Rattus norvegicus: one gene and its partner. The protein of the gene in region 2 purifies or fractionates together with the protein of the main gene of each other region. This does not show direct contact. Links are inferred from orthologs where the notes say so. Each region holds a gene or a part of one and is shown on either strand. Other genes may lie near its edges.

Region 1 (3,412 bases), on a different chromosome or scaffold from region 2:
GCTTGATGCAGACTGAGGCAGGCTTTGTTCTGCTGTGTTACACTGTAACTGTCCCGTGAATGCCCTTAACTTTTCACAGTGTACAACTCTCAACTAGCACTTGAAGAGTGATCTTAAAGGTTGTATTTTCTTATACGAATGCTGTGTCAAGGGCTTCCTAGCAGCATGGGATGGCTGTGAACCACCATGTGGATACTGGGAACCAAAGTCTTCTGAAAGAGCAGCCATTGCTATTAACTGGCCTCCTTAGACACATCATTGAGCATTTTGAGTTTATTTCCTGTGCAGCAGACTGAAAACCTCAGGACGAGTGACACAGTCACTGTCTGTGGGATGGGAGACCCGTGGCATCACTCTGTAATTAAACTTGTTCTCCCATCTATAGTTTTAAGAGCCCTTCTCTTACACAGACTGGAGCAAGCATTTCTAGGAATGAGAAGGCACTGAACCCGTGTGTGTCAGCTTTAGGTCAGAAGGGCTGACAGCTATGGTTGTAAGCTTGTCTAGCTTTGGAAAACTGAGAGCCGGCTCTGGAGTCTGTAGGGCCTGTGGTAGACCTCCTCCTTCCAAGGCTCAACAGAGAGCAGGCGTACCTCTGGAAATCCCACGTGCCAATTCTGTTTGGGCATTTGACATAGGAAGGTAGGATTTCAAACAGGTTTCTTGACTTTGACTTCTACTGATAACATAAAACCAATTAAAGATACATAAAATACACTCCAAAACTCTACATTTGACCTAGATTCAGACGTATGCTCTGACCTCTAATGGTCATGACAGTACCAGAACAGCTAAGGACTCTTTGGTGATACCATAGGAGTATGAGGAGAGGCTAGCTAGCACTTACGGTTTCCTTCATCTGGATTTGATTGATCTTTATTCTGAACAACTTGTGTTTGAAGTCTGCATTGAAGATGAACTTATCTCCGTCTTCCACCTCCTTCCCTTTGGGACTTTTAATCAGGACCCGGGCTTTACCACAGGCGAGAGACTGCAGTGTTCTTCGCAACTCACTGTCCTCTGAGAGAGGCAAAGGAGACGACGTCAGAGAACACACAAGAGACTCAGCCAGGAGAGAAACCGTGGATGTGCCACAGAGTCCATGCCTTCTCTTAAAATGCTTTTCCCCTAGCGCTGTGGATGGAACCCAGGGTCCTGTGCAGGCCAGGCAAGCAATCTGCTACGGAGCCATACTTCCAGCTCATACTCTCTTTTAAATCAACATGGTCGTTTTAAGTGCCAGGTGTGAGGGTGCACACCTTAATCCCAGCAATTGGAGGCAGAAGTAGGTAGATCTCTGAGTTCTAGGATAGCCAAGGTGACACAGCTTCTAAAGCAAACGAACGAACAAACAAACGAAGGTACATCATAAGGAGTCTTCCTTCCTACCTATGCCGGTGGCCATTTTGATTTCTTCGAAGCTGAACCCGTCGCCCTCGTTGAACATGAGCAGCACGAGCGTCTGGAACAGGGACACCTGGAACTCCTTCTTCCCCTTTAAGAGAACGGAGACAGCACAGAAGCTGAGCGTCTTCACGGTACAAGTCACAACAGGATGCTTTTGTGTGCATGGTTTTGTAGGGGATTCAGAACTAACTAATCACCACCACGTGAAGAGAAATTACGCTATTGATAAAAGAATGAGATGATTACTGGTATTATGTGTAAAGCCCTGTCTTGGAGCTGGACGTGGTAACACAGGCCTGTAAGTGAGCAGCGGGAGGCTGAGGCCGGGGATGCAGGCTCTGAGTCCCATCGGCTCCTTGCACATTACCATTGCTTCCCAGATGTCAGGCCTGTCTGTTTGTTGCAGCTACTGTTTTTAAGACAATGGCTTGCTGTAGAATCCCAGGGTGGCCTTGAACTTTCTATCCTTCCCCCTGTTTCTGGAGTGCTGGGCTCAAGAACATGCACCATCACACAGGGCTTTCTGAGGCTCTGGGTGGCAACCCTAGAGGCTTAGGAGGAGCACAGGGAGTCTGTGTGAGAGCATGGGAAAGGAAGGCCTCAGTGCTCCCAATGCTTTGTTCACACGAAGAACAAGTGTACAGTGTGCTCTGAGGGCAGACTCTGCCAGGGATGTTCCATGGTCCCCTTTTCTTATCTAGAATGTCCCAGTGCACAGTTAGTACCACGAGACCTAGCAGTTCTGTAAGGAGAAGGCAAAGGATAGGAAGGGGATTTGGGAGAGCAGCAGTGTCAGGTGCCTCCTGCTGGACCCTGGTCCTATTTCATGTATTTCAGGGGCTGTCTGCTGTCTGCAGAGGTCAGCTCCTAACTACAGCCAGATACACACAAGTGGCACAACTCAACCTTGCAGAAGAATGTATGTGGTGCCTACAGAGTAATACAATGTATGGGTGAATGTATTATAATGGCTCATACGTAATTTATATACTAAACACAGATGTGAACATGAGGCCTCCCCACACATTGCTTGGTAACATGCTTCCTTCGTGTCTTTGTGCAGCCTGTGTCTGATGCAGCAGCTCTGTGGTGAGCAGCAGCTCTGTGGTGAGCACTGAGACCCGAGAATCTTAGACAATGTCTTAGTAAGGACTCCTGCCCATCTCTAACTGAAGTGGCTTTAAAAGAGAGCATGTGGAGATCTTAAAAGATTCTCCTCTTGGTTTCTGGACACATGACAAAACTTGTTCTTTGGCTTGGCACTTTACAACAGAGGGAAGATAAAACAGTTAACAGAAAGAAGTGTGGGGGGCGGGGAGCTGCAACAGCTCAGCAGGGGAGCTGCTGCTCTTGTGGGACCAGCACCTGCCTCGGTCTGTATCGCACTGTCTGCGGTTAGTTCCAGGGTGCTTGGCCTGCACAGTCAAACTTCCATAAGCCACTCTCGATGATACTACACAGCTCAAGTCCCTGGGAGCTGCGCTTGCTGGTCCTCTCCAGTATCCGTCAGCATCTTGGTCCCAGCCACACTTCACTGTGTTCTGTTCAGCCGAGAGCTAGAGTATCCTTTCATCACGCCGGGCTTCAGGCTGGCTTTTATGGTTGCCTCTCATGCCTACTGCTCTCTTAACAACTGCATGGGTGGTGTGTAAGTGGGCGCTGCTGTGCATGCACAGAGGCCAGAGCAGGATGCTCGGTATCTTATTCTGTTGCTTTCTGTCTTTTTCTCTCAAGATAGTCTCTCACTGTTTTTCACTGAGGCTGGGAAAGTCCCATGATCACCCCATGACTTTGCACCCCAACTGCACAGGTTAGATGTGAGCACAGCCATGCCTGACTACTGCCACACTTTTAAGTAATAGTATTTATTTGTTCATTTATATGTGCAGGTTTTATGGGGGTCAGAGGACACCTGGGGGTTGTTTCCCTCCTCCTACCATGTGGGTCTTGGGGAATCAGACGCTGGCTGTCAGGCTTGGCACCCGGTGACTTTACCAGCTGAGGC
Region 2 (4,133 bases):
TGTAGATACTGAAGTTATTTCTTTGGTTGTGGAAATGCTTGCACTTCAGACAAATACTGATAGATTGAATGTCTTGAGAAGTGAGGAGCTGAAGTTCACAGGGAAGTAGACATAATTCAGCAGAGTAAGGTTAAGAACTAGCTCTCTGAGTTGTGTGTATATCTATCTATGCTCTAATTCTTATACTTACATTTACTTTAAGTCTGTGCAGAGGACAAGAAAGTAACACCTTCTATTTACCTTACATACTTTGTGGTAAGCACTCTGAATCTCACCATATTAACCCTGAAATCTCACTTAGTTCAGACTTTGATGCTAAGGCTCGGTAGCAAAACTTAAAAGTGTAACCATGAAATATACATCTGATTCCTGAGAAAGCCTTGAGTCAGGGCTACTTAGGAATTAAGAGAACTAGTGTGTTCTGCTTGAATGAGGGCTTGCCAAGCATCTTCCCCTGCCATCCCAATTTCTTCCCCATTTTTTGAGATCCATTTTCTGCAAGGTAGACTTTAAACTGAGAATCATCCTGTTGTTGCTTTGAGTGTCACAGTTATGGGTTTGAGCCACCATGTCCAGCTTCCTCTAGGCACATAAAATGTCAGAGTATTCAATGCAACTCTTTCCGAGTTGCATGAAGTCTTATTTCCTTTGGTACTGTGGATATTCTTATTATTGTATTGAGTCCTGTTGCCTGTAGCTAGGCCTAAATTACAACCTAACTTTGCTCAGTCTGCTTTTGCACCATTAAATGAACTAGTAACTGAACCTACAACACATAAAAGCTATTAGAGGAGCTACATGATCCCAAGACTTTTACACCCCCAACCATTCCGTTCACTTGCTAATCCTCACTGATTTGTCAAGAGTATTTCCAGGAAGCAAAAGGTTGTACACTTAGCTTTCCAAATCCTGTCTGTAAAAGCTTATGTGGCATCATCTGAGTTCCAAGCCAGCTTGGTCTACTCAGAATGCCATCTCAAAATGAAAGAATGAATAAACAAACAGAAGTCAAGGCTTAATGGCTAAGCCGGCAATCCTGCTTCAGACACAGTTAGCTGGACGACACCTCTTGCTACTTACAGCTTCCTCTTCTTTATCAACATTGCTTGTCTGGGACAACTTAATGTTCCCATTGCCAAGCTCCCCACTCGCAGAAAACTTCACCCCGTCCTTTGCACAGGAGATCACCACAGCATCTCCAATATGGCTAAGGTCCCGGCATATACGTGCAAATTCACCAGATGGCATCTTTACTACGCAGCTGTACTCCTGTTCCTGTAAATGCAAGGTTAAAGGTCAGTCTAGAAAAGAGGAAGACTCAGCTTCATGTTCTCAAGTTTCAGCACCTTAACTAGAACTCAGAACACAAGACTTCTGATGTCTTTACAACTCAATCAAGTTTAGGCTGTTGTGGTCTGGTGAAATGGCAAACACCACAACTCCACTTTAGAACATGCATCAGCTGGTATCACAGCTTGGTAAAACACCATCAGAAACAAGATACTTACTGGGATTCCAAGTTGCTCAACGTCTAAGTCCATTAACTTCATCTCATAGTCTGAAACTTTCTCTTGATCTACCAAAAGAAATCCAAGTGTTACTGAAGCACATGTTCATATCTATGTTGTAAATTTACCACAACCCTGTTGTTTTTAATTGTGAGAAACAGAAACAGCACACTTTAATTTCTGTAGCAACTGAGTTTTAAGGGTGTAACTTACTTGGTGCTTCAAATACTAGTGCTAAGGTATCAGCATTATCTTCAGCCCTTAATGTAATGATGTCTTCATTACCAGCACATTTTAGAATTTTGGACATGCTAGAAAAAAAAAAGGACACAGGGCTTATCAACATCATGTCTCCACATTTACATTTTTAAATTTATATTTCACATTCATGATTGGAGAATTGTTAGGGAGGATAAGGGTACCCCGAACCCTCTCAGAGGTTAAGCAAATTATCGGGTATATGTGATCCTTAAAAATCGATTTAGTAAAATGCACTAAAAGCCAACATTCAAGAACGCATCCTTTTTAGTGGGGTGTCCTCGGTTTTCAGCGTACTGGAGAGTGTGCCCTATCGCGTCTGGCCTTTTCATAAATGTTTCAAAATGTATACAAGTGACACTAATCCATATATCTGTACCAAAATAAGTCACATATTGTCCTTGAAATGTATACAGGAGGCACTAACACAGGTAGTTGTAGCAAAGTTAAAAGCTAAAACTGAGATTTTCCTGCAAATCCATGACGCGCAGTGAGATTCTAGAAGTCAAGAAAAGGCCTATCGTCACTCTAAGACTCTAAGTCGACAGTCCTTTTTCACCAGAACTCGCTTATTAGGCGCTAAAATCGGCCAGAAAAAGCTGCAGGCACTTAATGAGCGCAGCTCGGAAGCACGCATTTTCCCGCTGACTACCGCTTTGTGGCTTTGGCGCGGGAAAAAAGTAGGCGCGACAGCCAGCGCGGGCTTTTCGGAACCGCGCGCTTTGGTGGGTGATGTCCCCGGCACCACAGGCCAATCAGAAAGCGCGGACGGCCATGCCAGCCAATGCGAGTGCAGGAACACAGCCCCGCCAAGAGCCGAAGCGGGAGGGATGGGGCCCAGCTCCCGCCACCCGCTCACCTGGTGAGGTTCACGCCCATGGCCAGGTTGCGATCGCAGCGGTATGTGTCGAAGCCTTCGGAGCGCAGAGTAAGCTGCACTAAGGAGACGTGAGACGAATCCATGCTCTGTAGGTTCACGCCGCCCGAACTGATGTCCCAGCAGGCCTCATTGATGAGGTCTTTGAGGGCCTCCAGCACCTTCTTCAGGATGGAGCCCTGGATCAGGCGTGCCTCAAACATGGTGGCGGAGTTGCGACGTCTAGATGAGAGTTACTGTAAGGGGAGCGAGGTCTTGCTGACAAGGTACCCCGACTCACGATGCAGAAGTAGCGTGAAGACCAGGAGGGACGATAACCAGTCACCTGCGCCCGCAACCGTCTAATGCCGCGGCTTCCTAGGCGCGCGCTCTTTCAGTGCGCGAGGTTGTGGCGTCACAGCGCTGACCCACCCACCTCTCCTCTAGAACCAATCGTATCCGTGGTTTGAGCAAGGCCCGCCCCGCCGCGTATACAGAGGCGGAGCTGTGCGGTAAGAGCGTGGGAGGCGAGGGGCATCACGGGGTTCGCGTAGGCTGTCGTCACCGCCGGTGTTGGAGGGAGCTTAGGCTGTGGTTTCCATGTTCCTTAGGAAGTTTCTGCGCCACGGAAATGAAAGCCACTTGCAGTGCGCGGCGGCCTGCCTTGAAGAGGGAGACTGTAGTTCCTTCAAACACAGTGGAGTGCGTTTCTTTTACTACTGCGTAAAAAATATGCCGCAAAATATTGAGTAATAAAGAGGCCATCTTATCTGAACACTCCCCAATTTCATAACACTTACCTGGGTGCTTCGCTCTGAACTTTCCTCCCTAAAGATTTAAAAAAAAAAATGCCTCTTAACGCGAACGCTTCTGCAAAGATATATAGTTCATGTGTACCACGTAATTAGTTTCCTGTATGGTTGGTTTCTTTTATATTTTTAAAGGTAGATATTAGTATTTTCATCTTAGTTTTAGGCTTAAGATGAACCCAAGCCTGAGCCCCATCTTGAAAATATTAGCTGTTGCAGGTGAAGCGTCTTTCATATGTCCCTGGGCTGCAGCATTTTGTTCTACTAAAACTTCTTTTTCCTATTGATTATGAGGATGGAGAAGAACTGAATGTAGGTAATGGGCATCATTTACAAAAGGATATAAATGATTTCTATTTCTAATGCTTTTTCTCTTGGTTTTGGTGGTAGATAAAATATATTTGATAGTGGAAGTGTAAAACTTCCAGCTTCCATTTGGAATGCCTCTTCTAACTGTAGACACAACTTTTGGTGTGTGATGTTTTATTTATTTGCATTTTTTTTTTTACTAATAAGACATATAAAATTTCAGAAAGTTAAAAGGATTGTTTTAGCTGGTAAGAGTGTTTTACAGCTAATTCCAGCACATGGGAAGGCTGAGGTGGGAGGGCCTAGATTTAAACTCAGCTTGGACTATCTACCAAGACTGACACGAAGGGGGAAAAAGGAATGGTTTACGTATGAAAATATTAACCACATATC

The links. The genes of interacting proteins can lie anywhere in the genome.
Region 1: the proteins of Pcna (region 2) and Cul4a purify together in Homo sapiens (affinity purification with western blotting; 4 studies listed by BioGRID, with this or other methods). This does not show direct contact. The link is inferred for Rattus norvegicus from reciprocal best matches to the Homo sapiens genes PCNA and CUL4A.

What each region holds. Positions count from the first base shown.
Region 1 is NC_086034.1:83,090,128-83,093,539, forward strand, and holds part of Cul4a (cullin-4A), read right to left. Parts: intron 1,496-3,412; coding exon 1,390-1,495; intron 1,021-1,389; coding exon 848-1,020; intron 1-847. UniProt on the Homo sapiens protein: Core component of multiple cullin-RING-based E3 ubiquitin-protein ligase complexes which mediate the ubiquitination of target proteins. As a scaffold protein may contribute to catalysis through positioning of the substrate and the ubiquitin-conjugating enzyme.
Region 2 is NC_086021.1:139,952,913-139,957,045, forward strand, and holds the start of Pcna (proliferating cell nuclear antigen), read right to left. Parts: upstream 2,909-4,133; 5' UTR 2,847-2,908; coding exon 2,626-2,846; intron 1,820-2,625; coding exon 1,722-1,819; intron 1,577-1,721; coding exon 1,509-1,576; intron 1,276-1,508; coding exon 1,081-1,275; intron 1-1,080. UniProt on the Homo sapiens protein: Auxiliary protein of DNA polymerase delta and epsilon, is involved in the control of eukaryotic DNA replication by increasing the polymerase's processibility during elongation of the leading strand.